Linked DNA regions of Sus scrofa. The protein of the gene in region 1 interacts with the protein of each later gene in a pairwise test. Links are inferred from orthologs where the notes say so. Each region holds a gene or a part of one and is shown in the gene's direction. Other genes may lie near its edges. The genes, in order: REL, AQP1, CINP, PRKAA2, PRKAB2, EXOSC5 and TMEM8A.

The links.
Region 2: the proteins of REL (region 1) and AQP1 interact in binary tests that used the Homo sapiens proteins (3 or more experiments, as listed by UniProt). The link is inferred for Sus scrofa from reciprocal best matches to the Homo sapiens genes REL and AQP1.
Region 3: the proteins of REL (region 1) and CINP interact in binary tests that used the Homo sapiens proteins (3 or more experiments, as listed by UniProt). The two-hybrid records come from large-scale screens. The link is inferred for Sus scrofa from reciprocal best matches to the Homo sapiens genes REL and CINP.
Region 4: the proteins of REL (region 1) and PRKAA2 interact in binary tests that used the Homo sapiens proteins (3 or more experiments, as listed by UniProt). The link is inferred for Sus scrofa from reciprocal best matches to the Homo sapiens genes REL and PRKAA2.
Region 5: the proteins of REL (region 1) and PRKAB2 interact in binary tests that used the Homo sapiens proteins (3 or more experiments, as listed by UniProt). The link is inferred for Sus scrofa from reciprocal best matches to the Homo sapiens genes REL and PRKAB2.
Region 6: the proteins of REL (region 1) and EXOSC5 interact in binary tests that used the Homo sapiens proteins (3 or more experiments, as listed by UniProt). The two-hybrid records come from large-scale screens. The link is inferred for Sus scrofa from reciprocal best matches to the Homo sapiens genes REL and EXOSC5.
Region 7: the proteins of REL (region 1) and TMEM8A interact in binary tests that used the Homo sapiens proteins (3 or more experiments, as listed by UniProt). The two-hybrid records come from large-scale screens. The link is inferred for Sus scrofa from reciprocal best matches to the Homo sapiens genes REL and PGAP6.

Annotation. Positions count from the first base shown.
Region 1 is NC_010445.4:80,909,434-80,913,598, reverse strand, and holds the start of REL (proto-oncogene c-Rel), read left to right. Parts: upstream 1-1,365; 5' UTR 1,366-1,932; coding exon 1,933-1,942; intron 1,943-4,165. UniProt on the Homo sapiens protein: Proto-oncogene that may play a role in differentiation and lymphopoiesis.
Region 2 is NC_010460.4:42,073,942-42,077,979, reverse strand, and holds the start of AQP1 (aquaporin-1), read left to right. Parts: upstream 1-1,238; 5' UTR 1,239-1,428; coding exon 1,429-1,818; intron 1,819-4,038. UniProt on the Homo sapiens protein: Forms a water channel that facilitates the transport of water across cell membranes, playing a crucial role in water homeostasis in various tissues.
Region 3 is NW_018084979.1:1,150,398-1,154,424, reverse strand, and holds the start of CINP (cyclin-dependent kinase 2-interacting protein), read left to right. Parts: upstream 1-1,227; 5' UTR 1,228-1,308; coding exon 1,309-1,315; intron 1,316-4,027. UniProt on the Homo sapiens protein: Component of the DNA replication complex, which interacts with two kinases, CDK2 and CDC7, thereby providing a functional and physical link between CDK2 and CDC7 during firing of the origins of replication.
Region 4 is NC_010448.4:155,692,518-155,695,244, reverse strand, and holds part of PRKAA2 (5'-AMP-activated protein kinase catalytic subunit alpha-2), read left to right. Parts: intron 1-572; coding exon 573-1,077; intron 1,078-2,422; coding exon 2,423-2,549; exon of another isoform or gene 2,550-2,637; intron 2,638-2,727. UniProt on the Homo sapiens protein: Catalytic subunit of AMP-activated protein kinase (AMPK), an energy sensor protein kinase that plays a key role in regulating cellular energy metabolism.
Region 5 is NC_010446.5:100,377,174-100,381,343, forward strand, and holds the start of PRKAB2 (5'-AMP-activated protein kinase subunit beta-2), read left to right. Parts: upstream 1-1,370; 5' UTR 1,371-1,396; coding exon 1,397-1,552; intron 1,553-4,170. UniProt on the Homo sapiens protein: Non-catalytic subunit of AMP-activated protein kinase (AMPK), an energy sensor protein kinase that plays a key role in regulating cellular energy metabolism.
Region 6 is NC_010448.4:49,378,948-49,383,106, reverse strand, and holds the start of EXOSC5 (exosome complex component RRP46), read left to right. Parts: upstream 1-1,359; 5' UTR 1,360-1,403; coding exon 1,404-1,551; intron 1,552-4,159. Other genes in the region: BCKDHA (2-oxoisovalerate dehydrogenase subunit alpha, mitochondrial), read right to left, coding at 790-906. UniProt on the Homo sapiens protein: Non-catalytic component of the RNA exosome complex which has 3'->5' exoribonuclease activity and participates in a multitude of cellular RNA processing and degradation events.
Region 7 is NC_010445.4:41,318,418-41,322,706, forward strand, and holds the start of TMEM8A (transmembrane protein 8A), read left to right. Parts: upstream 1-1,489; 5' UTR 1,490-1,593; coding exon 1,594-1,732; intron 1,733-1,836; exon of another isoform or gene 1,837-2,585; intron 2,586-4,289. UniProt on the Homo sapiens protein: Involved in the lipid remodeling steps of GPI-anchor maturation. Lipid remodeling steps consist in the generation of 2 saturated fatty chains at the sn-2 position of GPI-anchor proteins (GPI-AP).

The DNA of each region.
Region 1 (4,165 bases):
GTTCCCTTTGTCCCTTTGTGGCTCAGCGATAATGAATCAGACTAGTATCCATGAGACTCAGGTTTGATCCCTGGCCTCCCTCAGTGGGTTAAGGATCTGGTACCTTGAGCAGCTGCGGAGTAGGCTGGCAGCTGCAGCTCCAATTTGACCCCTAGCCTGGAAACTTCCACATGCTGTGAGTGGGACCCTAAAAAAGCAAGCAAGCAAGCTAAACAAGCCTCTTATAGCTTTGTGCCCCTTTAAGATCTTTCTTGGGGCCTTGGAGCTATCTCTTGGAAATGTGAACATCAAGGAGGATGTTGCCCCATCTCCCTGTTTCTGTAGAAGTTTAAACCCTGGCTTTTAGCTCCAAGATGTAACTTCCTATTATTTTTCCTTGGGATAAAGACAAGTTTGTAATTGATTGTACCTGTCTGATTATATAAAGTGAGATTTCTTTTTTGTCTTTGCAATCGTCTTAACGCATCACAGTATGGTTTAATGTTTATTCAATAATAAAACTTTCATTCTTTTCTACTTTATTTCGTGAAGAGGATATTTTGGGAGTGGCAGGAGATTTTAATTATTTCCCCAACCGGATCCCCCAGTTTTGGCACCTGTATGGCAGACTATTTTCCATTACTCCTCCATATTTATTTTAGGCAGCAAAGGATAGTGGAAAGAGCCTGGAGCTTTGGAGTCAGACAACCCTGAATTTAAATTGTGCTTTTCTTTTTACTAGCATTCTAAAATAAGGACAAGTTACGTCTCTGAACCCTGATTGCCTCACCTATCAAATTAGGATAATAATACATTACAAACGAGGCAACTAAACTGACACTTAGGTCCTTTACACAGTAAGGAAACAAAGTAAACTTAGATTCCTTTAGTATACTAAACGTTACATTCCCTCTTTCCTCGGGCTATTTCTGTCCAGTCCCAAGGCAGTGTCCACATTAATCTTGAGCACAATGAACATCAGGCAACGAACTCACATTGCGGACCCTAAGAGCTTAAAAAGTTTTAGTTTGTAAAGTACGTTAACAGAGCCCTCGCAATTTAGACAGGCAAAGGAAGAAGATCGGGGGTCTCCGTATGCAAATATATGAATTACGACCGCGCACCGGCTACCGCGGCTTCCGCACTTCCCTTCGAGGGCGCTCGGGTACATCGGCGCTGTGCCGCCAGCCCGCGCGGGGGCGGAGATTTGCGTGTGCAAGAAGGGGAACCACCCATCGAAAACCCCCCCAAGCCCGGGAGGGCCGGCCCCACTTCGCGCCCGGCCCACCCCTAAGTGCTTGCCGGCGGTCGGCCCTCCTGACGTCACCGCACCCTCCCACCTGCTCCTGAACTTTAAGCCAAGCGCCCAAGAACATCCTGGAGGAGGGGGATTTCTCAGGAGCCAACAGCTTTCGCACGCTGGGGGAAGTCACCTCCCGGGTCCCAGCGTTCCCTGCGCTCCCGAAGGTCCCCCGTTCCCGCTTCCCAAACTGGATCCCAAGCCCTTGGGGGCTCCGGGGAGGGGGCGGGGCACGGGGCAGCCCAGCGCCGACGCACGCGCGCGAGTCTCAAGGCGTCCCGCCCCCTCCCGGGGGAAGGCGGCGGTGTAGGGGGCCTACGTCAGCTAGGGGAAATTCCCCTCCCGCCGGGCAGCCTGCCTCTCGGGCCGGCCAGAGCTGGGCTGCCGCTGCTGCTGCTGCTGCTGCGCTCCGCCCCCTGCCCCTGGCTCCCGCAGCCTGGACTGGCGACGCCGGGTGACCCGAGCGCGAGAATTAAGCGGGTGGGAAGGTGTGAGCCGCAAACCCAGAGGAGGGCGGGAAGGAGGAGGAGGTCCCGGGGGTGGTCAAGGGGATTGGGGATCCCGCTGGCAGAGGTCCCTCGGCCGCCGGACTGACTGACTGCGGCGGCCTCCGGTTCGGACGCTCGGAGCAGGGCGGCGCGGTGAGCAGAGCCATGGCCTCGGGTGAGTGTGTTCCCGCGCGGGCTACCTCTAACAGCGGGAGGGCAGGAGCGGGTCCGAGGGTCTTGCTGCTCAGAGTTTCGGGGGGTCAGTTTTGGTTGTGGCTCTTTGTGTCTTTAAACTCGACGCTGGCAAACTGTCAAGCTTTTGAAAAAGTGACAGAGTTCGGGGTTTGTGTGTGAAATCAAAGTCAAGCTCTGTAATTTGATGCCGTTGTAGTCGTCGGAACCTTAGAACTTCCCAAAGACTTGGGTCTTGGATTAGGGAAGTTAGAAGAATCTGAATGAAGGAAGACGAAATCCTCATATTTAAAAATTGATTTATTATTGAATTGGAGGTTTTACGTTTTAGAACAGGAAGGAGGATCCTTCCGACCTCAGGAGAGCTCTTTTTAGTTTAATCTCATCAGTTGCTGAGAGGTGATTGCTGTTGTTGCTGACAGCTGGGCAAAATGCGGTGAGGCTTTAAAAATTACCAGTGGTATTTTAATAGGTAGTAGGTGGAAAAGTTGCTTCAACCAAGTGGATCATTTTTACTGTGAAGTGCCTACTAACTTGTAAAACAGAAGTCGAGTTTTGTTTTCCTTTTTGGAAAGAAGGGGGAAAGACGGTTTTTTATTTTGTTTTGTTTTATCATCTCCGTGCTTTAAAATATGATGAAGCATGAAAAGAACTTTCTATCACTTATAAACTAGCAAATATTTATTTATAGTTAATACTTAATGTGAATCTCTTTCTTTGGGGAACCGAGTTTACCAAGAAACTGCTTCAAGGATGAGGGAGGGCCCCTCAGATCCCGCCATGGTTTAGGTCGGCTTGTAACCTGAGGCAAGCAAATCAAGTAGACTGAATTCGAGTGGGACTTTTATTGGAGTCTGGGCAAGGTTCGGGGTGGGGGGCCGGGGGGCGCTTTCCCGCCAGAGGGAGCAGCGAGAGCAAAGTCTCAGAAGCCTAAAAGTGCGTTAACACGGTGCCGGGAGGCTGAAGAGGGAGACTTGTTTATGCTTGACCCACATCCTCCCAACTGCCTGGTTCAGTGACCCTCGGAGGGCTGATGACTAGAAGAGAAGAGGAAGTAGAGAGCATAAAGGACTTTTTTTTAAAGGGTTGAGCAGAACAAACCCATAGCTGCTGCTGTAGGCTGAAAAGGAAATTGGGGTGGTTCACATGACATTTGATTTCAGTTTGTCTGTGGTTTTCATGTGAGAATACAAATGTAGTTTAAAATATTTCAACTTTCTCTTCATCTACTTCAGTGACCCCAGACTTCCAGATAATCTTGTAAATTCATAAATTCAAAGCATGTTAGATTTAAAGTGCAAAGATGACAGAAAATATTTGGTTAATTTATCATCAGAAAGATTTTGTATGAAAGTTAAAGAATGGCCAGCGTTATAGGTATAAAACAAACAAACAAAAAACACCCCAGGCTTCCGGCAGTTTAACCAAACTTTATGATATATGGCATGAATGTAATAATTATTTCAAAAGAAAGAAAAGAATTAGCCACTCACATAGAGTATTGTAAAACCTACATCATTCAAAAATGTGATACCGTTTAAACTTGTTTCATGACACTGTTTTGTCCTGTTGTGTGTACTGATTCTCTAAGTCGAAGGGGAAGAAATTAAAAGAAAAGGAGAGCTGTAGGGTAATTATCTTTTTCTTTCTTTACTGGGCTTGCATCAAAATGCACTATTCACAACGTAAGAAGTTATTGAAATTGTAATTCAATTATTTGAAAACCGCAAAACAAAAAATTTTTTAAAGGAGTCTGAGTGTACTTTCCTTAATGACTTGTAAAGACCTTACAGAAAAAGGTTATAAACAACCATCCCTGTTTTTAACAGTAATTTAACTAAAAGAGGACCAAGAAAACCTTTTGCTTAGTTCATCCTTGTCTAGTTGAGAGTGTGTATTAAAGTAGTATAAAACCTCAAAAAGTATTTTTATTGATTACCAAGCATTTAAGGCCATTTCTTCATTTCTCACCGGATGTCATATGTAAATAGGTGTGTGTAGTTGAATGTGTGATCTCTAACGTGAAAGTAGCAGATCATAATCTCATAAGCAAAATTATAAAAGTACCATAAATAACTGGGACTTTGAATGTTTCATTCTAAATTTTGTTCAACTAAATTATCAGATTATTTAGGAGTTCATAGTTCAGGTTCTGTTAAGCTGTCTTTATTGCTTATTCCAGTCTTCTGACACAATTAATTTAGGA
Region 2 (4,038 bases), on another chromosome or scaffold:
CTCCTCTTCCCCGCAGACGCACTGCAGCAGCCTGGTGGCCTGGGCCTGGGGTTCCTGACCAGCCTCCGGCCCAGGAGTCCAGGTTCCTGCTCAGTTCACTGGCTGCCGCTGGGCCTCTGGCTTTGGCGCAAGGCTGGACTATGGGGCGGGGTGGGGGGCGGGCATGGTCTTTAGAGCTGCCTCTTCCCTCCCCCTGCCCCAGGCAGTGTCCGGTCCCTCCCCTTTCCCCTCTGCTCTCTCCTCTTGCTCTTCTGGATTCTCACCTCTGGGTCCAGTCCTGTGTCCCCTCTTTCCAGTGGTCTTTCGCGCTTTGTGCTGTCTCTGTCTCTCCTTCTCAGTCCCCAGTGTCTCCCTATCACTGTTTGGGGATCTGTTCCTTTCACTTCTGCTTCGGCTGATTCCACATCCCACTGTCCTTCCTCCTCCCTCTGTCTCTCTGCCTCTCGTTGCCTCCTTTGCCTCTTCCCCTCTGGGCCCCGGTGTCTCTTCCTCTCCCTTTCGTGCTCCCACCTCTCTTCCCCCTTTCTCTCCTCCCCTTTCCCTCCGGGGCTTTCCGGTCAGGTTGCCCTTCCTCCTGTCTCCCCAGTGGTCCACCAGCTTCATAGGCTTCGAGAGGAAAGTCCTTGCCTGCCCTCATCTTCCCCAGCTGCCGCAAGATCATTCGCTCAAATCAGAGTAGGGAGCATCCTAGCCTGTCTCAGGCCTGCCCTGGACCACAGAGTGGGGGGTGGTCTGTAGATGAGCTCTCTGTACCCCCTGATGCCTCTGTGTCCCCATCAACTGAGGCCTGGCCGGTGGTCTGAGGGTTCTGGGACATTCCTATGGTGACATTTAGTGGCCAGGTATGGGAGGCGCAGACTGCCGCTGGGGACCCCTGGACCTGTGGACTCCAGACTCAGGCCTCTCTGGGGTTGGATGGGGATGGCAGACCAGCAGGGTCATGGTGCCCGCCTCTAGGAGGGCAACGTCCACCTGCTGAACCTAGCCGCTCACCCGCCCCATCCGGAGCGCCTGGCTTTGCCCTCGGGCACCCCCTGCGCTTTGCACACAGGGCAGGGACACCTGGATTTCTCTGGCCCCCTGAGTGGGGCCAACTTGGAGGAATTTCTCAAAGCCTATTAGAGAAACGCTGCCTCCTGCCTGCCTCCTCGAGCTGGGCAGGGCTGAGGGCGGAGGGAGAGAGGGAGGGAGGGGAGAGAGGAGGAAGGGAAAAAAAGTTGGCAGGCCGACAGCAGAGCTGTGTCTGCATCCATCGCTGAGAGGAGGCCCGTGCAGTGTGGGGCGGGCCAGGAGCAAGGAGAGGCCTTCCTCCCTTTGTGCTCCCCCCCCCCGGGGGGGCCCTATAAATAGGCCCAGCCCCGGCTGTGGCTCAGCTCTCAGAGAGAGGCGAGCACCAGGCAGCCGTCTCAAGCCAAGCCCCCTGCCAACATGGCCAGCGAGTTCAAGAAGAAGATCTTCTGGAGGGCGGTGGTGGCCGAGTTCCTGGCCATGACCCTCTTCATCTTCATCAGCATCGGTTCTGCCCTGGGCTTCCAGTACCCCGTGAGGAACAACCAGACTTCAGGTGCGGCCCAGGATAACGTGAAGGTGTCGCTGGCCTTTGGGCTGAGCATTGCCACGCTGGCCCAGAGCGTGGGCCACATCAGCGGCGCCCACCTCAACCCGGCCGTCACGCTGGGGCTCCTGCTCAGCTGCCAGATCAGTGTCCTCCGGGCTGTCATGTACATCATTGCCCAGTGTGTGGGGGCCATCGTCGCCACTGCCATCCTCTCAGGCATCACCTCCTCCCTGCCCGGCAACTCCCTTGGCCTGAACTCGGTGAGTGGGGTGGTCCCAGGCGCCGGGGCTCTAGAATGGTGCTGAGATGCCGCCGGTTTCATCCTCTGCCCACTGTGCAGATGGGGATACTGAGGAACAGAGAGGACGAGAGGTTGCTGGAGGTCATGCTCAGTTGACCTGGAACTCAGCTGTGCCTGGGTCCAGAGCCCTTTTTCTTCCAGGCACTGTGGGACACGGAGACCCAGAGCGTAATGGTCTTGCCAGTGTCCCCTGCGGGCCTCTATTATGGGAAATAAGCTCTGGAGGCAGCTAGTGGTTGGGCCAGCAGCTCCTCACCCTGGTTTCTTGCTCCCTTCCACCCCAAGCCCTCCCTGTGCAGCAGCTGCCTCCCCATGCGGCCTGGACCCCAGGGAAACTCTGTCTGCTGTCCCCCGCCTCCCTGCACCACAGGCCGGGCATGTGTGTGGGTCCGTGACAGTGTGAGCAGGACTCCCCTGGGGCTGCTCCAGCAGCCCCACATTCGCACAGGTCCCCAAACCAACTGCCTTGAAGGAAAAAGCTCCTCTTGCTCTTCTGGCCCCAGGTGGGGGACAAAGATGGGGGTGAAAACCCTGTCTGGACAGTGTGCAGGCGGTTTTCTTGGATTACAGCAAGGGGCAGGGGCGGGGCAGGGCCCTCTCACCCCCTCTCTGGGTCCATTCGCGGTGGCCGGGCACTGAGAGGTGTGGTGTGTGGGTGGGTGTGAGCCGTGTACGCGCATGGATGGCCACCCTCATGGGTCTCCGAGCCCATGGAACCTGGGCACTCCTGTGTGAGTCTTTTTTGGAAGCGTGTCTGTGTCTGTGAGCCCGTTATACTGCTGGGCAGGCATGTGTGGGGGCGAGTATGTGCCTGCGTGTGCCCACCGCTCTCAGACTAAATGGGGCCCGGCCTGGGGGCACTCAGGATAAGCAGATGTGGGTGACCCAGCGGCAGCTGCAGAAAAGAATTCCTCCTGGGCCGCTTAGCACAGCTAATTGGCTGTTGGCGGCAGTTGCCTGCTGTCGCAGACCTGGGCTTTTCCAGACCTTCAGCCAAGTGCAAACTCAGACCTGGCTTGGGCCACAGCAGGGGGAGATTTGGCCTGAGAGTCTGGGTAGGGCTTGGAGGAGGTCTTAGAACACCGCAGCCGAGGGGGCGTTGCCACAGGGAGGGAGCGAGGCCAGGGAGCAGAGAGAAGGGATCAGGTGGGGTGTCGGCTGGCAGGGCCTGGGCAGGGCAGGCGGGTGTGGGGACAGTAAGAGAGGGGCCAAGAGCCCTGCAGAGACCGCAGGGGGTGATCAGAGAAGCAGCTCTTGCTTCCCAGTCAAAGTTCAGCTCCTGGTGCTGCGGCTCGGGGAGGCTTGGCCAGCTCCGGTGCGGAGGGCAGCTGGCATGAGCCTGCCATGGAGGGATTAGCACTTCTTGTGCCACAGTGACACCTCACCCAACCCGGGGTTGAAGATTAGCCCTGTAGACTGGAGTTTAGACTTTAGTCGAGAAAGAGGTGGGCATGGTGGCTGTGAGGGACAGAGCTCCAGCAGGCTGCGTCCCTCCAGGTCTATCTCTCCAGCGGGGGCAGAGCCGGGCAACATCGGGGAGGGCCCGCCGGGTAGGGTTGGGATCACCTTGGGGCTTAGCTGGGCAGGATGGGCGTGGGGATAGGGTCCTCCTGGTGGGAAGCTGAGTCTCCCAGGCCTCTCGGCCCCCTCTTGACCCTCTGTCTCAAGGACCAGGCAGGCAGGTGTCTCTAAGCTGGCCATCCCAGGCAGACGTGGGAGGGCGGGCTCCTCTGTGTCATCTTGATCTGGCCACGCCCTCCTCCAGTGTCCCGTCCCCTCTCTGGCCTTCATTTTCCAGAGTTGCCCCAATACCTGAGCCAGGCGGGTGGCAGATGGGGGAGAAAAAGGGACAGCATCGTGTGGGGCCCAGCCTAGACTCAAGTCCTGGATCCTACCAGCTTGTTGGGTTTCCCCGAGGCTGAGAGCCCTGAGGCTCCAAGAGGGGACCTGGGTCTCTGGATATCTCCTGGCCACATGTGTAGTACCAGCATGCTCACTCTAGGTCTTGAGTTTATCACTCTTCCCAGGGCGGTCTGGCTAAGGGGAGCCCAAGAGGGGCCGTGCTAAGCATAAGGGCACTGAGCACTGTGGCGGGACCCAGGGCAGCCCTGTCCACACCGTGGAAGTTTGGGGTCTGGCAGGGCACAAACAGAGAAAGCATCCCCGCCAAGGGCTCCCG
Region 3 (4,027 bases), on another chromosome or scaffold:
ATTTTATTCCCAGATTCGGCCCATGCTGGGATGTGGGCTTGGGAATTTCCAGAGCTCCTTTCCTTAAAGTTTCCAAGACCTTGGCTACAAGGTGGAAGTCAATTCCCAGTGCAACTCATCACGCCAGCAGACAGGTGTGTGCCCAGGTTAGCAGCCCACACTCTCTCTGCCAAACAAATGTTAACAGAAGCAAGAGAACAGAATGAAATTCCTGAGTCGCGACGAAAAAGTGAGGAAGAACGGGGAGCAGGGAGGAGAAATGCAAGTACAGTACGTGGGCGGCGTTCACTGAAATGTACCGCGCGTGCCAGGCGCCGTGCCGAGCAACTCCCAAGCACCGACCCATTTCATCCTCCCACCAAGCCAGAGCGAGAAACTATTACCAGCCCCATTTCGCTGATGATGCAAGAGAAGTTTAGGGAGACATCACTTACCCCGAGCGCACAGCTAGGACGGGGCAGCGCTGTGACCCGGGTCTGACTCCAGGGTACCCCACTCTTTAACCTGCACTAACTATTCTGCCTGAGGCCTTAAAGCAGGACTGAGAGAGGAGTCGTCCGTTCACCCACTTGACCAACAGCTCCTGAGCACCTCTGTGCTATGGGTATGTGCCAAGGCCTGGCCGGACGCGGGAGGGGTGCGGATGAAGGGACGCGGGCTGAGGGTCGGGGGACAGGCGCCACGTCAGTCCCAAGACCGCGGAGCTCGGGGCCTCGGGGCAGAAGGGAGACCAGGGTGCGGCAGAGGGAAGGGACGGCGGAGAGGGAGGAGCGAGTGCAGCCGGGGCGCGCGGGGCGGAGGGCTGGCGGGAGGTGTCGGCGGGCCGGGGCGCCCCGGAGGGATGGGCGACCACCGCTCCCCTGGGCAGACCTCCGCTTCTGCCAGGCAGCCAGCCCGGCGCTTCGTGTGCCAGGGCATTCGGCCACCGGGCGCGGGCGAGACGGGGACCGGGAAAGGGGGCAGTGCGACCCTGAGGTGCTACAGGGGCGACCGGGAGGCCGAGGGGGGGGCGCGGGGCTGGGCGGCGGGGTCAGGCGGCGTCGCGGGACTCACCTCCCGCGGCGGCCCCTCCGGACTCGTCGGCCCAGCCGGGCCGGAGGAGGCGGGGATGGACTCCGGGCCGCGGGGACTGCCGGGAGCCCGTTTCCAGGGCAACGGGGCCCGCACCGTCGAGCGGCAGGCGGCTCCGCCGCTGGCTAGAGCGGCAGAGGAGCAGGAGGTGGCAGACGGGGTGGAAGTGGCGTCGGGAACTTCCGGCGGACGTGGGCGGGGCTCGGAGGTCTCTTTCCTGGGATCCCTGCGGATGGCATGGAAGGTGCGTGAGAAGGGCCAGTTTCCCCAGGCGGGCAGGGCGTGAGTGTTTTGGTTGGAGCTTAGTCGGTACTCCGACGGAATTCACAGTCTAGTGAGGAAGATGCTAGACATTAAACAAAAAGATACGCTGCACTGATGAGTGTTGTGATGCCAAGTTAAGTACAGGGTATTCCAGGTATTTCGTGCAAGGAGTCCTAACCCAACCTGGGAATCCAGAAAGACTTCTGGTGGAAGTGACTTTCTAAAAACCGACATTAGATCACGTCATTTCCCTGCTCAAGGCTTGCTGCTGGCTTTCCATGACTTGGAATAAACCCAGACTTCTTTTCTTGGCCTGTAAGGGTCTAGCTGCCTGGCTGCCTGCTCACCTACTATTTCCCCTCTCTCCCTCTCATTCTAACCGCCCTGGTCCTTTTCTTTTTTTACACACACTAAGCTCATTCTCACATTACGCCCAAGCTGTTGACTTCTCATCATTCAGATTGCAGCCTAAATGACAGTCTCTCGGGGGTTCACCCTAACACAGGACCCTGTTTTATTCTGTGGGGTTTATGGTCTAAACTGATGCTGACCATCTAGTTGTTATCCATCTCCTCTCTGGAAAGTAAGTTCTGTGAAAATGGCCCTGGTCTACCAAGTTCAGTCGCTTCATTCCCCATGCCTGGCATGATGTAGGCACTCAGCAAAAGCTGGGTTAGTTGTATAAATAAGGAGTGAATGAGTAACTGTAGATACTGGATATAGAGCTTCCAGGCTGTCTCCAAGTGCTGATCTCCCTGAATCCCCACCTGTTCACCAAGCTGGCAGCTCCCAGAACTCTTTGCTCTTGGGTTTTGATGGAGGCTTCATTCCATAAAGAGGGTCGATTAAATTATTTACCACTTACGACTGATCCAACCTCCAGTCTCTCTTCCCTTATTGGAAATGGGGGTCGGGGGTGGGGGGACTGAAAATTCCAACCCTCTTAATATCAATATGATGTTTAAAAGGGGAACCTAGATAAGGATGGGGGCTGGTTGTCAGGGGAACCAATCATGTGATTAGAGAGCGCTGTACCCCTTCCTGCATATCTTGCCCTAAGCACTTCTCTGTCTGGCCCTAGTAATCTAATAGGTAAAATATTTTCCTGAGTTCTCTGTGAGCCACTCTAGCAAATTAATCAAACCTTGTGGAGGGGCTATCTTTGGAACCTCCGATCTATCAGAGATTTCTAGTAGGTCAGAAGCACAGACCTAGATCTGGCCGCTGACATGGAGAGAGAGGGTAAGAGTCTGGTAGGACTGAGCAATTAGCTTGTGGGATGCCATCTCCAGGTAGCTGGTGTCAGAATTGAGTTTATTGCTTGGTGGTGGTGGAAAAACCACACTGGAGAGGCCCTTGTGATAACACATGCTGTGTTGGGTACTTGCTGCACGTCAGACCCTCACAGCTTAAATATATTATTTAATCATTGCAACAGCTCTATGTAGTAGATCTGTTTTACCCCCACTTTACAGATGGGTACTTTGAGGCTCTGAGGGGTTAACTAACTTACCCAAAATTGCACAGCTGGCTGTGACAGAGCAAGTATTTAAACCCAGTCTGTATGGTCTTCAGAGTCTAGACTCCAAACTATATAAACTGTATCGCCATTGTGTGTCCTGGATTCCGTAAGTGGCCTCTCTCAGAATCTGGACCTTATCCTGTGGGCCATGAAATACTTTTGAAGGATTCCAAGTGGAGAGGATTCGAGGCAAAGGAGGGCCCGGGTGTGGGAGGTGCCCAAACAGCCTGAGTTGGCTTATTGTGGTCTGGGGGTTGCTTCCCGCAGGAGCTGGGACCTGGGTGAGTCCTGGGGTTTGGGCAGCCTTAGCCAGAGGAAGGAAGAAGCTTTCTAGCAGAGAGAACTACATGTGCAAGAGCCAGTGGGTGGGTGATTCAACTTCAGAGTTGCCAGTAGGAGTTCCCATCGTGGCGCAGTGGAAACAAATCCAACTAGGAACCATGAGGTTGCGGGTTCAATCCCTGGCCTCGATCATTGGGTTAAGGATCTGGCCTTGCCATAAGCTGTGGTGTAGGTTGCAGGTTCAATCCCTGGCCTCGATCATTGGGTTAAGGATCTGGCCTTGCCATAAGCTGTGGTATAGGTTGCAGACTCGGCTTGGTTCTGATGTTGCTGTGGCTGTAATGTAGGCTAGCAGCTGTAGCTCCAGTTGGACCCCCTAGCCTGGAAACCTCCATGTGCTACAGGTGCAGCCCTAAAAAGCAAAAAAAAAAAAAAAAAAGAGTTGCCAGTAGTTGCTCTTAGCTAGAGATTGCGGGGGTTCAGGGTGGGGGTTAAGATGGGCGCTGAAGCCGAGAGGGAGCCAGGTCCTGAGTTTTTGTTTTTTTTTTTTTTTTGTCTTTTTGCTATTTCTTTGGGCCGCTCCCGTGGCGTATGGAGGTTCCGAGGCTAGGGGTCGAATTGGAGCTGTAGCCACCAGCCTACGCCAGAGCCACAGCAACTCAGGATCCGAGCCGCGTCTGCAATCTACACCACAGCTCACAGCAACGCCCTATCGTTAACCCACTGAGCAAGGGCAGGGACCGAACCCGCAACCTCATGGTTCCTAGTCGGATTCGTGAACCACTGCGCCACGACGGGAACTCCAGGTCCTGAGTTCTAAGCACGGAGATCATCACTGCATCTCAGGTCCGGCCCGGTCAGTATGTTGGAATGTCGAGCGCTGATAGC
Region 4 (2,727 bases), on another chromosome or scaffold:
ATTTTAACGACCTCAAACTTTTATTCTTTATTACATTAAAATCCACTGGTCTTGTTTTTATTTCAAGTGGATCTTTTACTCATGTATGATTCTGTAACATCAAGCATTGGTCATATGGAAAATATTGAGTTATTGAGGTAGACTGATTTTCCAAATGGTGACCCATTTCATTATATAATATCAAATCATGTTTATTATCACCTTCACTATAAAGTTAGAAAAAAACTTTTATGTATTGGGAAGCTGTCAAACTCATAGAGACATGTACAAATAATACAGAATTCTAAGATTTTGCTTTAAAGCTTGAATTTTATCATTGGCATCAAATAGTTGTTTGCCACTTGTTTCCTTTCGAATGACAAGCTCATTTTATTTTTGAGGAAATTGCAGCCACATACCCAAGTCTGAATAATCATCATATTCAAGAGCAGAGGTTAACTTACTTACCCAGGGTCACATAGCTAGTGAGTGCCTAGAGATCACATCTTTCTGATTCTGTTACATTGTACATAAATTATTTGGGACTTGCCAGAGCATGTTCTTACAATAGTGTGTTGTGGTATTTTTCCTAGAGAGCATGAATGGTTTAAACAAGATTTGCCCAGTTACTTATTTCCTGAAGACCCCTCCTATGATGCTAACGTCATTGATGATGAGGCTGTGAAAGAAGTGTGTGAAAAATTTGAGTGTACAGAATCAGAAGTAATGAACAGTTTGTATAGTGGTGACCCTCAAGACCAGCTTGCAGTGGCTTATCATCTTGTCATTGACAATCGGAGAATAATGAACCAAGCCAGTGAGTTCTACCTCGCCTCTAGTCCCCCAACTGGTTCTTTTATGGATGATAGTGCCATGCATATTCCCCCAGGCCTGAAACCTCATCCAGAAAGGATGCCACCTCTTATAGCAGACAGCCCTAAAGCAAGATGTCCATTGGATGCACTGAATACAACCAAGCCCAAATCTTTAGCTGTGAAAAAAGCCAAGTGGCATCTTGGGATTCGAAGTCAAAGCAAACCATATGACATTATGGCTGAAGTTTACCGAGCTATGAAGCAGCTGGATTTTGAATGGAAGGTAGGAGATTGGAGTATATGAAGATCATTAGTAGAAGCCCTTTGATATATAGTGAGCTGCTGAGTTGAGTACTGTGGTCAATAAAAAAGTTGGTTTTGATTTATATATGAATTTAGTGGTCTAGATGCTTCTGGCTAATAAACCCCATTCTTTCTAGTAATGTACCATGTACACTCAAAACAAAATAAATCTTTGTAAAGATTAAGAACCGTTGATGTTGGGGACCTATATATTTTTGAATTATAGAATAGCATTCTTGGCCAAGAAAGAGTTTTAATAAACTTGAAATTTCTTGAGAAAATAGCTTACCTGTTTCAGCATGCATCAGAAAAAAAGTCATGTGTCTTCAAAGATAGTATGTTTTTACTTTCTCTTTTTTTCTTTTTGTTAATAGCTGTAGCAACAAGTGGTTCGTACAAATTATACCATCAGGATATATTTATTGAGTTGACAAATACTTTTCTGTAAGTTGAGAAAGCCTGTCTTATTTGGCTAGTGCTTTTAGTCCTTAGTTGTGATATATTTTTTTTTCAGTCCACATTTTACTTTTTTATTAGTGCTCAAATGCATTTCAATTCTATTTGAGTATATGGGGGGCAGTTTTTCCTTTTCAGGTATCTTTTATTTTCGTTCCTTTCTTGAGGACTGGAATGTATTTTTAACAGAAGAAAAATGTTCAAACATACCATGTACATATTCACTTGACATATTTTTATTTCGTTATTTGTACATGGAATGAATAAACAAAATCATATTTCCTTAAAACCATTTAAAAAGCAGATCTCCCTTTTCTGAAATGGTTTTATTTAGTTAGTTTAAAAATAGATGTTAATGTCTTAAAATTCCTTACTGAAAACATTTTGTAAATAATTTGATGTTTTGAAAAAGCAGAATCTTTATCTGAGTTGCTGTTTTATTATCTTCAAAAGAAAATATCTTCCTTGCAAGATTACTATGATACTTCAATTTTGTGACAGTACCTGTTACTGTGCCAGGTTTAAACCATTAACATGTTAGGTCTCTGTCTAGCTTATAGTCCTAGTAAAGGTATCCAAGTTGAGAATGGGCAACGAAGATTATTTAGAGTAGAGGCACATCTGGAAAGAATGCTGGACTCCATATAATCTCTGCATTCCCTTTAAATTTTAATTGCTGTATATAGTACTGTTGGTAGGGATTAAATACTAAACTACTGTGTAATGTAAAAGAAAAAAGATAATTCAGGAATTCCATCTCTGCTCTACCTCTGTCAGTTACTTGTTTTAATATTATTCTTTTCAATAAGAATAAGGTATTTTGTAGTTTATTTTTAATGTTTTCCCTTAAAGAAAAATTTCCGTTTTAGGTAGTGAATGCATACCATCTACGTGTAAGAAGAAAAAATCCAGTGACTGGCAATTATGTGAAAATGAGCTTACAGTTGTACCTGGTTGACAATAGAAGCTATCTTTTGGACTTTAAAAGCATTGATGGTAAGGAAGCCACGCAGGCATGAACTCTGAGAAGATAAAACTTGGCACTAGTTGACAAGATGTTAAAACCATCTCAAAGACATGGTGGGTAGGTCTTCTGTACTGGTTTTTAAGTAACCTAGATTTAACTAAAAGTGTAAGTGAAGCGAAAAGGATCGAAGACATGTGGAAAATCTCT
Region 5 (4,170 bases), on another chromosome or scaffold:
TGAGTTTAGTCTGTTCACGGGACAAGCAAGACTATGACGAAGAATCAAACCTAGAGTTGCTCTCTGCCAGCTGTCAAAGCAGGGGTTCTTACACTTTAATGCACACACACATTCCCCTGGGGATCTTGTTTAAAATGCACATTCTGATCCTGTAGGATGAGGCCTCAGATTCAGGATGTCTAACAAGCTCCCAGGTGACGCCCATGCTGCTCCTCACTAGAACACAGGCTGAGTGACAAGAGCTTCCAGTAGGTCATGAAACATGCGTGCGTCTAATAACACAAAGGAAGAATGAGTAAATCCCATAGCAATCTCATTAACTATCACTCAAAACGTGAATGAGTCACAACCTGAGGCCTGTCGCTGCCCGTTTCTGCCTTAATGTTCTTTCTGATGTTTCCATTCTTTCTTGAATTTCATTTCTTCAGGGGTTGCTCATACCAAGTGCTGTTTCTTAGCCTTGCAGGGCTTTCTCCTTCTCCTTAGACGAAGTTTAACCATTTGTCAAGATTTATCTCCTCATCACTCCTCCTTCCCCGCGGCTCCAGTCCAGCTGACTGCTTCCCACAGCACTTAGCAATTACCACTACTTCCTCAGCCTTCTGTTGGAAGCCCGCTTTCTTGATTCCTGTAGAAACCCACCTCTCAGGGAAGCCCCCCAGAAAGACAACATAAGAAAGAAAGGCAAAGTCGCTCCTCTGGGTACGGAGCCCTGGAGTCACTCGGGGACCACCCCCTCCGGAGGGCAGGCCCTGGGGCTCAACCAACCGAGTCTCAGCACAGCCTCGCCAGTGAAGCGATCTCAGCCCTGCGTGCCGCGGACTGCGGAGCGGGCGCCCCCGCGTGGCCCTGGAGGCTGCGCGCCGCTGCCCACCATCGAGCCGGCGGTGGCTAGAGAGGCCGGCGGGCCCCGGGCGCCGCGGTGGTACGGCCACAGGGAGTGCGCGCTAGGCGGGCACCGCGCCGCTGGCCTCGTGGCCATTTTAGGAGGAACCGCGGCTCGCTAGCCCCGGGCGCGGCTTCAATTTCAATAACTTTATTGGTGGCTTCTCAGCGGAACAGCCATCGCACCATTGGCCTCGGGAGGAGGGAGAATTTACAGGAGGTGACTGGGCGGGGGCGGGCGCCCCTGGACTGTGAGCGCAGGGATGAGGGGGAGTTCCCGAAAGCGAGTTTCCTGAGCCGCCGGCAACCAGGGGGTTTGGGGGTTCCGGGCGCTTCTGGAGGCCGGGGAGGGGGAGGTTGTCCCCCGGGCACGGCCTCCCTGGGGCGGGGATTCCCTTGCCCGGGTCCCCAGGCACAGGGGCGGGGCCGGGGGTGCTCCTGACGCAGCCGCCGGGGTGTTCCTAGCCTTGTGTTCCGCACGGCAGGTGGCCCCCGACTCCGAGCTGCAGCCATGGGAAACACCGCCAGCGAGCGGGTGGCCGGGGAGCGCCACGGCGCCAAGGCTGCTCGCGCTGACGGCGCGGGCGGCCATGCCCCGGGCAAGGAGCATAAGATCATGGTGGGGAGCACCGACGACCCCAGCCTCTTCAGCCTGCCCGACTCCAAGGTGAGCGCTCCCACGCCCCCAGCGGGGGGCGAGGCTGCAGCAGGGTGGGTGTCGGGGCTCCTCCTCCGTTTGGGGATTTCTTTCTTATCACACTGACCTGAGTTATGGTTTTGGGAACTAAAGGCTCTCTCGGGGACTGCGATGTTGAATGATCATTCCTTTCGCCGCGCTGCCTCAAAATAGCCCGGAGGTGGAGTTCTTGTTAGGCGACTCCTCTGCTGGCCGCATTTTCGGATGAGGACAACAGACCTAACTCTTGGTTCTCCCAACAGACACGGGTACCCTTTGCTAGGGTATCGATGAATTTGTAGGTTGTGGGCCTTGGGGAGGGTGGATTACCTGAGGGCCACATTTAGGTGGCCGTTTCTCTCATCTGCCCTGAGGTGGGCAAATGAATTTCTGTTTCCTGACAGCTTCTCTGTCTGAGTATCATCTTTGCTCTTCTGAGAGCTCAGCATTTCAGATCCCTTTTCCCCTTTGGCATGGCTGTGAGTGGCAACCACGTGCTTATTTGAATAATTTCTCCTAGTGGGGGTCAACAAAGGACATCATTTGGTGGACTGCTCATTTTCATCTCATACTTTATAGTTATGGTGGCTGAGCTGCTTCTTTCTTCCAGCCGCTACTCAAGAGCCAGAGCAGGTTAATTCCAGAATTTCTCCACTTCCCAGTAGTACTTCATCATGTTACCACCGCTGAAAACGAACAATCCACAGCAGCCTTGAAGACCTTGTTCTCAATTCCAAGGACTTGTTTCAGGGAGGAGAAAACTTGTATTCACCCCACAAAAAGCAAAGTTGGAGCTGACAGCAATGTGATTACCACCTGAATGTTTCTAATCCCTTTTAGAGCTGCTGGCATTAAATACATTAATTCCTCCAGGTAGAATAAAATGAAGTAGAAAAACAGATTGAGCAGCTGGGGGGTCTGTTTGATGTTTCTTGTCACTTATCCCTTCCTACCAGTGTGGGGTTTTATTTTATTTACTTTCCTAAAGAGAGAATAATTTGCCAGGTTGATAGCGTGGGAAATATGGATTCTCCAGTTTATTTTTTCAAGTACCAACTGAGAACATAATCACAAAAAGAAGTGAAGATGTTTTCTCGGTGTTTCTCCTCCATTCCTTTCTTTTCCCACTTCGGGACTTCTTTCTCAACATTTGGGCTGTCTCTTCAGCCATCTGAACTTCTTCAAAATTCTTCAAAGCTTTCTTTCAAAGCTTTGTACCCACTTCCCTACATTGATGACTCAGGATCTAAGTAATGTATTATTTGTCAAATGGTGACTGCAGTAACTGGCATCCTGAATAAAAGCAGGTTGCTCTATTTGAAATGGAGTCTATTTGGATCATTCTTTCCCTTACCTCAGTCTTGCTATTCATGAAATAAGAAAATGGATTCAGATAATTCTTAAAGTCTCTTCAGAATCTAAGATTTTATACTCAATGTGCTCTCTTTATTTCTTCCCTAAATGTTTCACTTAAACATTTTTCAATTGTAGTTGTAATTATTTTGCCACTTTTCCTGAAGATTTTGCTGACTATTGAACTTGGAGTAAACAATCTTTCTGCTAGTCAGCTGCACTCATGCCTGCCACAGAAATGTCACGTTATCCGTGGAAGGGCTTTCTTCCAAAGCTAAGCATATTAATAGTTTGTAGCTTTCAAATTCTAAACTGAAAATACTAAATCATACAAGTAAATGATAGAAACAGTGGCAGTGGGGCCATCCTCTTCAGTGGACTAGTTACTGGTTCTCAATTAGAATAGGCTGGAATTTGTTTAAACACTTCATGGAAAATTTGAAACACTGTCCATGTTTCAAAGCAGGGAGAACAGTGTGATGAACTCCTGTATAGTTGTCATCCAGTTTAAACAATGATCAAATCATGAATGAATTTGTACCACCTATATACCCCCATCCACTCTACCCTCACCAATTATTTTGAAGCAAATTCCAGACTATCATATCAAATATTACTTTATTAGTATTTTAGGATACATTTCTAGAGATGAGGTTTCTTTATTTTTAACATAATCACAGTGTTATTGTCTGGAAAGCTTTTTAAGAATAGACTCCCAGACCCTATATTTGAATCAGAATCTGAGGCATTTGTAATTCTTAGGCATATGTAAAAATTTCTCTAATTCTAATGCAGCCTGTCAAGCAAGAACTCATTGCTTTGAGAAAATGGAGATCAAGATTTTTTAGGAGCTCCCGTCATGGTTCAGTGGTTAACGAATCTGACTAGGAACCATGAGGTTGCAGGTTCGATCCCTGGCCTTGCTCAGTGGGTTAGGATCTGGTGTTGCTGTGACCTGTGGTGTAGGTCAAAGATGCGGCTCAGATCCCACGTTGCTGTGGCTGTGGTGTAGGCCGGTGGCTACAGCTCTGATCAGACCCTTAGTCTGGGAACCTCCAAATGCTGCGGGTGGGGCCCTAGAAAAGACAAAAAAAAAAAAAAAAAAAAAAATTCTCTAAGCCATTTCCTTATATAACGTGGAAGTCCCTTCTTTTTCTCTGTTTACTTTGGATTTATGCTGCTACTGGTGTCTCGTAGTGTAGTTTTGAGGAATATGGAGAGACAGTACAGAAGGTAGACTACCTCTGCCATTTTTA
Region 6 (4,159 bases), on another chromosome or scaffold:
TCTCCCTCCTCGTCCACCCTCATTAGCTGAACAAATACTTACTAATCATCTCCTTTGTAATGATCAAGACAGACAAGGTCAACAGCCAGGTACTGCATCAGGGGACCCAGGATCAAACGACTTTTTTACACGATTCATTTTAAAATCAGAGCAGGAGTTCCTGTTGTGGTTCAGTGGGTTAGGAACCGGTCATAGTGTCCATGAGGATGCAGGTTCCACTCCTGGCCCCGCTCACTGGGTTAAGAATCTGGCGTTGGCCCCCAGCTGCGGTTCCCATTCCACCCCTAGCCTGGGAACTTCCATATGCTGCAGATGCCCCAATAAAAAGTAAAAAAACAAACTAAAAAAAACCAGAGTTGAAGCAAAAAGGCACTATAAAAGCCTGTGCTGGGGTATCTGCTCTCTCTTCTCTTCTTGGAAGGGGGAGTCTTTCCCAAGAAGAAAATCTTTCCTTTGTAAACGCAATTTCACTCTCCAACCCCTGAGGAGAAAGGTCACACTTTCCCCCCATGTCCTCCAAGAGGCCTCCCCGGGGCATTGGTGGCAACTAATAAGAAACGCCCTCCCTCACTTTCTCCACGTTGTCTTCCTCCCTGAGGGTCCACAAAGAAGCTGTCCCGCTTTGCCTCTCCTAAGGAAGTGAAACTTCTTCCCTTGAGGGTCCGCTACAAGATGTTTCTGCAGCCCTTCTCCCTTCAACCGCCCTCCATGTACTCCCTACAGGGACGCCACACTCTGAAGAAGGAGTTAACATTTCTATACCTTCTCGGGTACCTCCCCAGTACTCACAGATCTAGCCAGACCCCGAGCCCCAAGCCGCCGCAGAAGCAGGAGGCCAGCCTGGCCCAAGCCTTGACTGCGCTCCCAAACCCTCGCCACAGCCACCGCCAACGCCATCTTGACCATTAATACCTCAGAGTAGCGTCCCCCTCCTTGGCGAGACTGGGGCTGCCCCTTCAGGAGCCTGACTCAAATACCAGGATCGCTCTGCCAAGAAACCACCTGCTACTAATCCTGCGGTCTTTAGGACACATATATAGGTGGGTAAAATAATCCAGATTTCCCCAAATTACTCCGATCGCTTCACCGGAGTTATTCCTCTTAACAGGCAAAGCAGAGGGCAACTGAGCTCGGCTTCAGGGTTTCAGGGCCCCGGGGCCTCGGGTAGGACGAGCTCATGCCAAGGCCCGCCCTCTCTTCCCTTCTGTCCAATGGCTTTCCTGGACTCTCTAGGCGGGAGTAGGAGGGACCAGATTGTTAGTAAACGCAGAGACACGTGCGGGCGCGGATCCCGGAGGGCCCCGCACCCAAGTTGGCGCTTGCTCATTGGGTACGCAGTCTGTACGCAAGCGCGCGCTTCTGGGCGGAAGCGACAGTCCCTGCTGCACGTGGGCTCCCCGGCGATGGAGGAGTCGATGCAGACTGAAACCAAGGTACGCCCCGAGTCTGGAGCAGAGTCTGGCCCTCGGAGCCCCAGCTGTACTCTCCGGCACTTTGCCTGCGAACAAAACTTGTTGTCCCGGCCCGATGGCTCTGCCTCTTTCCTGCAAGGTAAGAATTTACCCACGTCGTATTTGTTCTCGTGGGCGGGTACAGTGTATTGTGTTAGCTGGTAAATATCTTCTTGGACTGATGCAGTTCTTGCCGGAGTGAATGGTACTGCATATGCCAGTAGACAAATAGAAGGGTGAAGATACCTCCACTCTGGTAAATATGCCTCAGGATGAGAGAGGGGCAGACCTTCTCTTAAGAACGAATACTCCAGGGACTTCCCTTCGTGGCTCAGCAGTTAAGGAACCCGACTAGGATCCATGAGGATGAGGGTTCGATCCCTGGCCTCCCTTAGCGGGTTAAGGATCCGGCGTTGCTGTGAGCTGTGGTGTAGGTCGCAGACACAGCTCGGATCTGGGGTTTCTGTGGTTGTGGTGTAGGCTGGCAGTTGTAGCTCTGATTAGATCCCTAGCCTGGGAACTTCCATGTGAGGCCTGAGAGAGCAAAAAAAAAAAAAAAAAAAAAAAAGAACGAATACTCCAGAATAGGGGAAATCTCACCGTGTAAAAAAAGTCCTCCTTGACTAGGTTCCTCCCACACATGCACTCTGGATTCATCTATCCCTGGTTGAGGCAAACCTGTTCTTTTGCGTAAATACCTCGTAGACTGGCAAATCACCACTACTGATTTTTTTTTGTTTGTTTTTCTTTTTTCTTTTTTTTGCTTTTTAGGACCGCACTTGCAACATATGGAGGTTCCCAGGCTAGGGGTTCAAATGAAGCTGTAGCTGCTGGCCTACATCGCAGCCACAGCAATGCGAGATCTGAGCTGCATCTGCGGCCTACACCACAGCTCACGGCAACCCCAGATCCTTAACCCACCGAGCGGGGCCAGGGATTGAACCCATAGCCTCATGGATACTAGTTGGGTTCTTACCCGCTGAGCCAAAATGGGAATTTCGTTGTTTTATATATACGGAGTTGCCAGGCTGGGGATCACATCCAAGCCCCAACTGTGTCCTTCCTATGCCCTTAGAGTGGCAACGCTGGGCCAGGGTTCCTGCCAATTCCTTTGTGCCACAGCGGGAATTCCTGAACACATGTGTTTTTGCTAAGTACTGTTCTAAGCACTGAGAAATCATAGCTAAAAAGGTTTTTTGTGTTTTTTTAATTTCTTTTTTTATATTTTTTTCTGTTTTATATAAGTTTTTAAATTCCTGCCCTAGAAGAGTTTCCATTTCCATCAGAGAAACAAGTGATAACTAAGTAAAACTTAGTAAAAGGCTATGGAGGAAACTACCGCAGGAAGGAAGAATAGGGCGTGCCAGAGAGGGGTGCAGTCTCAAATGGGATGGTCAGGGAAGGCTTCGCTAAGATGGTACCATTTGAATAAAGATCTAAAGGTAAGGGAGCAAACCCTCAAGACAGTAAGAGAAAAGCATTGGGGACAAGGGTAAAGGCCCTGAGACAAAAACTTGCCTGGTGTGTTTGAGGAGCAGTCAGGAGAGCAAAGTGGCTGCAGCAGAGACAGGAGGTCAAAGAGAGGTACGGAGGACTGCCCTTCATGCAAGTTTCTTAGCACTTAAATACTGAGCCTCTTCCATGTTCTAAAACCCCAAAGCCCAGGACCCTGGAGCAGAGTCCCTCAAAGGCCCTCAGAAGTGTGTCTCACATGCTCCTGGCCTCAGAATCTCTACTGAGGTTAAGAATTCCGAGCCCCAGGAGTTCCCTGGTGACTCAGCAGGTTAAGGTTCCAGCATTGTTACTGCTGTGGCTCAGGTCCAAGCTGTGGCAAGGGTTTGATCTCTGGCCCAGGAATTCCATGTGCCGTGGGCACAGCCAAAAAAAAAAAAATGCTGAAGCCTCAGAACCCACCCACACCAGCTAAGTCTGGCCCTCTACACTTTTTAATCCACTACAGCGGCAATTCTGATTGCAGGCCAGCGTTTTGAAGCTGTGCACCAGCTCCGTGTCCTCCCACTGCAGGTTGCAATCCCCGCTGCACATTAGAATGGCCTGTGGAGCTCACAGGCTGCCGGTGCCTGAGCGCCAGCCCTCAGCAATGGTATTAGGCTCTCTGAGGGGAGGGGCCTGTGCATCAGTGTCTTTTAAAGCTCTGCAGTGAGTCCAATGTGCATTCGTTAGTGATTCTTTTTTTTTTGCTTTTTGTGGCTGGGCCTGCGGCATATGGAAGTTCCAGGCTAGGGGCTGAATCGGAGCTACAACTGTTGGCCTACGCCACAGCCACAGCCACATTGGATCCTTAACCCACTGAGCAAGGCTAGGGATCGAACCCACATCCTCATGAATATTAGTTGAGTTCTTTAACCTCTGAGCTGCAGAGGGAACTCCCTGAAAAAAAATTTTTTTTTTTTGTCTTTTTTGCTATTTCTTGGGCCGCTCCTGCAACATATGGAGGTTCCCAGGCTAGGGGTTGAATCGGAGCTGTAGACACTAGCCTACGCCAGAGCCACAGCAACGCGGGATCCAAGCCGCGTCTGCAACCTACACCACAGCTCACGGCAACGCCGGATCGTTAACCCACTGAGCAAAGGCAGGGACCGAACCCGCAACCTCATGGTTCCTAGTCGGATTCGTTAACCACTGCGCCACGACGGGAACTCCTGAAATATATTTCTTATTGGGGGTTATGGTCAGAAAAATTTGGA
Region 7 (4,289 bases), about 40 Mb from region 1:
CGCAGCTCGGATCCCGCGTTGCTGTGGCTCTGGCGTAGGCCGGTGGCTACAGCTCCGATTGGACCCCTAGCCTGGGAACCTCCATGTACCGTGGGAGCAGCCCAAGAAATGACAAAAAGACCAAAAAAATTTAAAAAAATAAAAAAAAAATAAAAGTGCCCCTTGGGAGGCCCTGACCAGCTCATTCCCAGTCGTCCTCTCACAGCCCTGGGCGTCCGGGTTTATCATGTCCCAGCCTTTGAACCTCCACCTGTGGACGGTGATTCGAATGCCCCCGCCCTGAGCGCCAGCGTGCAAGCGCTCCCGGCGTGCAAGCGCTCCCGGCGGAACAAATGCACAGCAGGAGATGGAGTGAGGCTCCACCCAGCCCAGCCCGCCACCCAATCCCACCCTTTCCTCAGGCTCAAACTTTTTCATCTCTGCAGAGGTGTTCGGCGCAAGAAAAAAGCCCTCTCCGGGCTTCCTTGTTTGCATTTCTCTAAGGAAGGAGCCGTTCGTTTGCATATCCTTCTCAGTGTTCTCTGGGCACTTCCTGTGGGAGAGTTGGGATTTCTTACTTGTTTGTGGGAACTCTATATTACAATCGCATTTAGATTGGCCCTTTGGGATGTGAGTGGCACGGTCGTCCTCCCGTGGCTGGCTTGCTTTTTGACTTGATGGGAGTTTTGCTCTGCAGGAAACTTTGATTTTCAGGCCTTGCGTCCCGTGTCCAGCGTCACATTTAGAAAAGCCTTCACTTCCCCCAGACTGTGCAAGAGTTTCCTTGGAGGCCCCATCGTTTCCTTTCCACGCTGAACTCCCTCATCTGTTGGAATCTACGCTGCTGCCGCCGCCGTCAAGGCTGAGGAGTGAGTCCCGTCCAACGAGAATCGCCACCGTGGTAGCGTGCGAAAGATGTATAAACCGGAGTCTTTTTCCTCTTTCCGTGACAGTGCGGTTTTCACGCACGTTTGGAGCGCGTTTGCGGTGTGACGCGCTGGGAGGCGGGAGGGAGCGCAGGCTGGCTGGACTTCGCGCGGCGCCCTGCCCACGGCTCAGTGACCCGCAGGCTCTCTCGTCCCGGGGTCAACCCAGCGCATCCAGGAAGGATGTGGGCGCTCGGCCGCCGCCTCCAATCTCCTGCGCGTCCCAGTTCGCGCCCCACTAACAGGCCCCTCTGAGCCGAGACCCCCGCGGCCGCCTGCGTCCCGCGCCATCCTCCGCCCCCAAGGGTCCCGCCACCCTTCGTCTGCTCCCGCCCCGCCTCCCCCACCTGCGATCGGTCTCGGGTCCGCGTTCGCCCTCGGCCCGCGACCTCGCTCCCACCCATCTTCTTCGCGCGCCCTCCCGGTCCCAGCACGGCCCCCGGCCCCCCGGCCTTCCGACCGTGGTCTCCGCGCCCTCCCCGCGCCCCTCTCCGGCCCGGCTCCCGGCGGGGCGGGGCCTCGCAGGCGGAAGTGCCCGGGGCGCCGGCGGCTGGGACCAGCCCGGACGATGGGAGCCCGGGGCAGAGGCGGCGGCGGCGGCCGCAGGGGCGGCGGTGGCTGCCCAGGCGGCGGCGGGGGTGCGCGGCCGGGGACGCGGGCCCGGTAGCGCGGGGCCGAGCGCGGAGCCATGGGCCGGGCTGGGACCCGGGCCGGGCGCGCGGCGGCGGTGGCGGCGGCGGCGGCGCTGGCGGTGGCCGGGCCGCTGCTTCTGCTGCTACTGCTCGCTCGGCCCCCGCTTGCCGCCGCCGGCGACAGCTCGAAAAGCGGTGAGCGAGCGCGGACCCGCGGGCGCCGTCCCCGGGTCGCGGGCAGAGGGGCGCGTGGAGGTGGGGGTGGGGCGGCCGGGGGCGGGGTCTGCATTGTGACTCACCTGGGGGCTCCTGTGCACTCAGCTGGCACGGGTGTTGGGCCCAGGTCCTCTTGCCGGGTTGGGGGCGCTGGGCAGCCCCTAGTGGGGCTCGGCGTGTGAGAGCGGTCGGGTGGAAAGCACGCTCGCGCCCCCTGATCTGTCTCGAGGGCTGGGTTCGGCCTCACGGGCACCTTGGAGCCAGCCAGCCCTCCCTTCCTCCTCCTGCCAACGCGTTCAGGTCGGGCGCGACCGTCGCGCCCTGGGAGGCGGAGGTGGAGCGGCTGAGGGGTCCCTTCTGGGAGTGTGAGAGCTGAGAGCCAAGCGCCTAGGAAGAAAGGCGGGCAGTGGGATTCCGCGGTCTCCCGCTGGTGGGGAGAGGGACAGAGGCCGGAGAAAGTTGTTTAGACCCTGGAGAAGCAGCCCAGGAGGGTGTCATGGCCCCACCCCTCCCGAAGCGACCCCCAACCACTTTGCACAGCTGGCCTTGCCTGTGGGAGGCTGGGCTTCCCGGATCCGCGGCCCCGGGTGGGCCCCAGTGGCTCTGAGAAATGGGCACCTCTGCGTTGCTTGGGAACTTTCACTCCCTTTCACGGAGGCCCGAGGAGGTGGCTAGACCAGGAGGCGCCACCGCTGGGCTTCCGCAGGACACCTGAGGATGCTGAGGAAACCCCCTGACTCCTGTGGCCTTGGACTCGATGAGGCCACGTGGCCCGGGCTGGCGGGGCTGGGAGGGCCCAGATGCCCTCGCTGGGCAGTAGGCAGCTTATCTACCACAGCCTGGGGCTGGCGCCCAGCCATCCCCCTTCTCCGAAATCTTGCTCCTCCAGGCTCCTGTTTCTTTGAGGGCTCTGCCTCTGGGTTCTGAGCTTGGCACCACTTGAAATGAAAGGCAGTTGCCCCAAGATCGGGCCCTGATGAACTCGTTCCATTGGGTAGCTCCACCCTTAATTTCTCCTTTTCCAGGGTGAGGGCTAGGTGAGCGGTCACTGGTGGGGAGTTTACAGAGATGGAAAACCTGGGGCAGCCCCTCAGCTCCCAGGCCTGCTGAAGACGCAGGCAGCTCTGTGATCCCGGCTTCTGGGGTCTGTGGGTGGGCAGGGTCTCTGCACCGGGTGCCTGTCCTGGTTTGGAGGGTGTGGGACAGGGTGTCCTCCCTAGGGTTCCCAGGACAGGTTCAGGGACCTTCTCCTCCCCCAACCCTGTGTCCTTGGAGGGGGCCATGGACAGAGCAGGTGTGTGTGGTGTGGCCGGTGCTCCCTGATATCAGGAATGTGACTTCCACATCTGGCTCAGCATGCATTAGGGGTGCTGATGGCCTGGTACATTCACCGAGATAAGTCTTGGGGCAGGGAGGTGGAGCTGCAGACCTGGGGGTGGGGTACCGGAGGGGCTCTGGCCCTGGGAGTGGGGGGCCATTGAGTCCTAGAGTGACCTCTCTTATCTCTTGTGCACCTGCTGAGACTTCACAGCTACCAGCTGGGTGGCAGGTACCCAGGGCTGGTGGGGGCCCAGAAGGCCCGGCCCCCTCTCGGATCAGGGGTGGCACACTGCAGCGTGACTTCCCTCGCACAGCCCCATCTCTAAGCTGTGTGCCCGGTAGGCTGGCTATTTCTCCAAGGCTCTGTGACCATGGACTGTGTGGGTGCAGCCGCCTCAGAGGAAGTTTGTTCAGTGGCTCCTAGTCTTCCCGGCCTGGCAGCCAGTAGACACCTGCAGAGCCTGGAGTGTGTCCTGTGTGGCACCTAGCCCTGCCCAGCCCCTACTGGGCTCCTCAAAGCTCAGACGGGCTTTGCAGCTGGGCTGCTGTCTTTTCTCAAGGAGGTTCCACGGGAAGGTCAGGAAGCTGGCAGGAAAGCCAGCGGCTCGCCTGGTTCCCTCACCTACTCACCCCGCCCACCTAAAGGGACCCTGGGCTTGCTGCTCGGAGCAGATGGAGGCCACACCCTGCTGTGTCCACAGTCCATTGTTCAGGAAGCACAAGTGCATCCATTAGCCATGGACGGAGGGGCACCCAGAGGGAGGTGCTGACTGCTGCCACTGCTAACTCTCGAGGAAGCTGGGACCCAGAGAGAGGAGGGGACAGCCATGGTCACACTGAGCTCAAGGCCGTGTTTTCTGCCAAGTAGCCCTGGCGCCTCGTGGCTGGACCCCAGGCCTGGTCGGCCGCCCCCAAGACACAGAGAGCCCACAGGGCACCTGTTCTGTGGGAGGCCCAGAGGGAGGGTCTGGGTAGGCGCCAGGTTGGCACTGTCACCCACTCAAGGGGCAGGTACCTATGCTATGGGCCCTGGATATGTGCTCCAGTTGTGCCAGTTAATGGACACTCCCAGGAGGGCCCTGATCAGCCTCGGAGCTGAGTCCTGGAAGGCCTTCAGAGTCGGCTGTCAAAGGCTGGCTTGACCAAGTACCAAGTGGGCTGCAAGGGCAAACGTTTGGAGTGTGGGGGTAGCGGAGCCAGGGAGCCACAGAGGTGG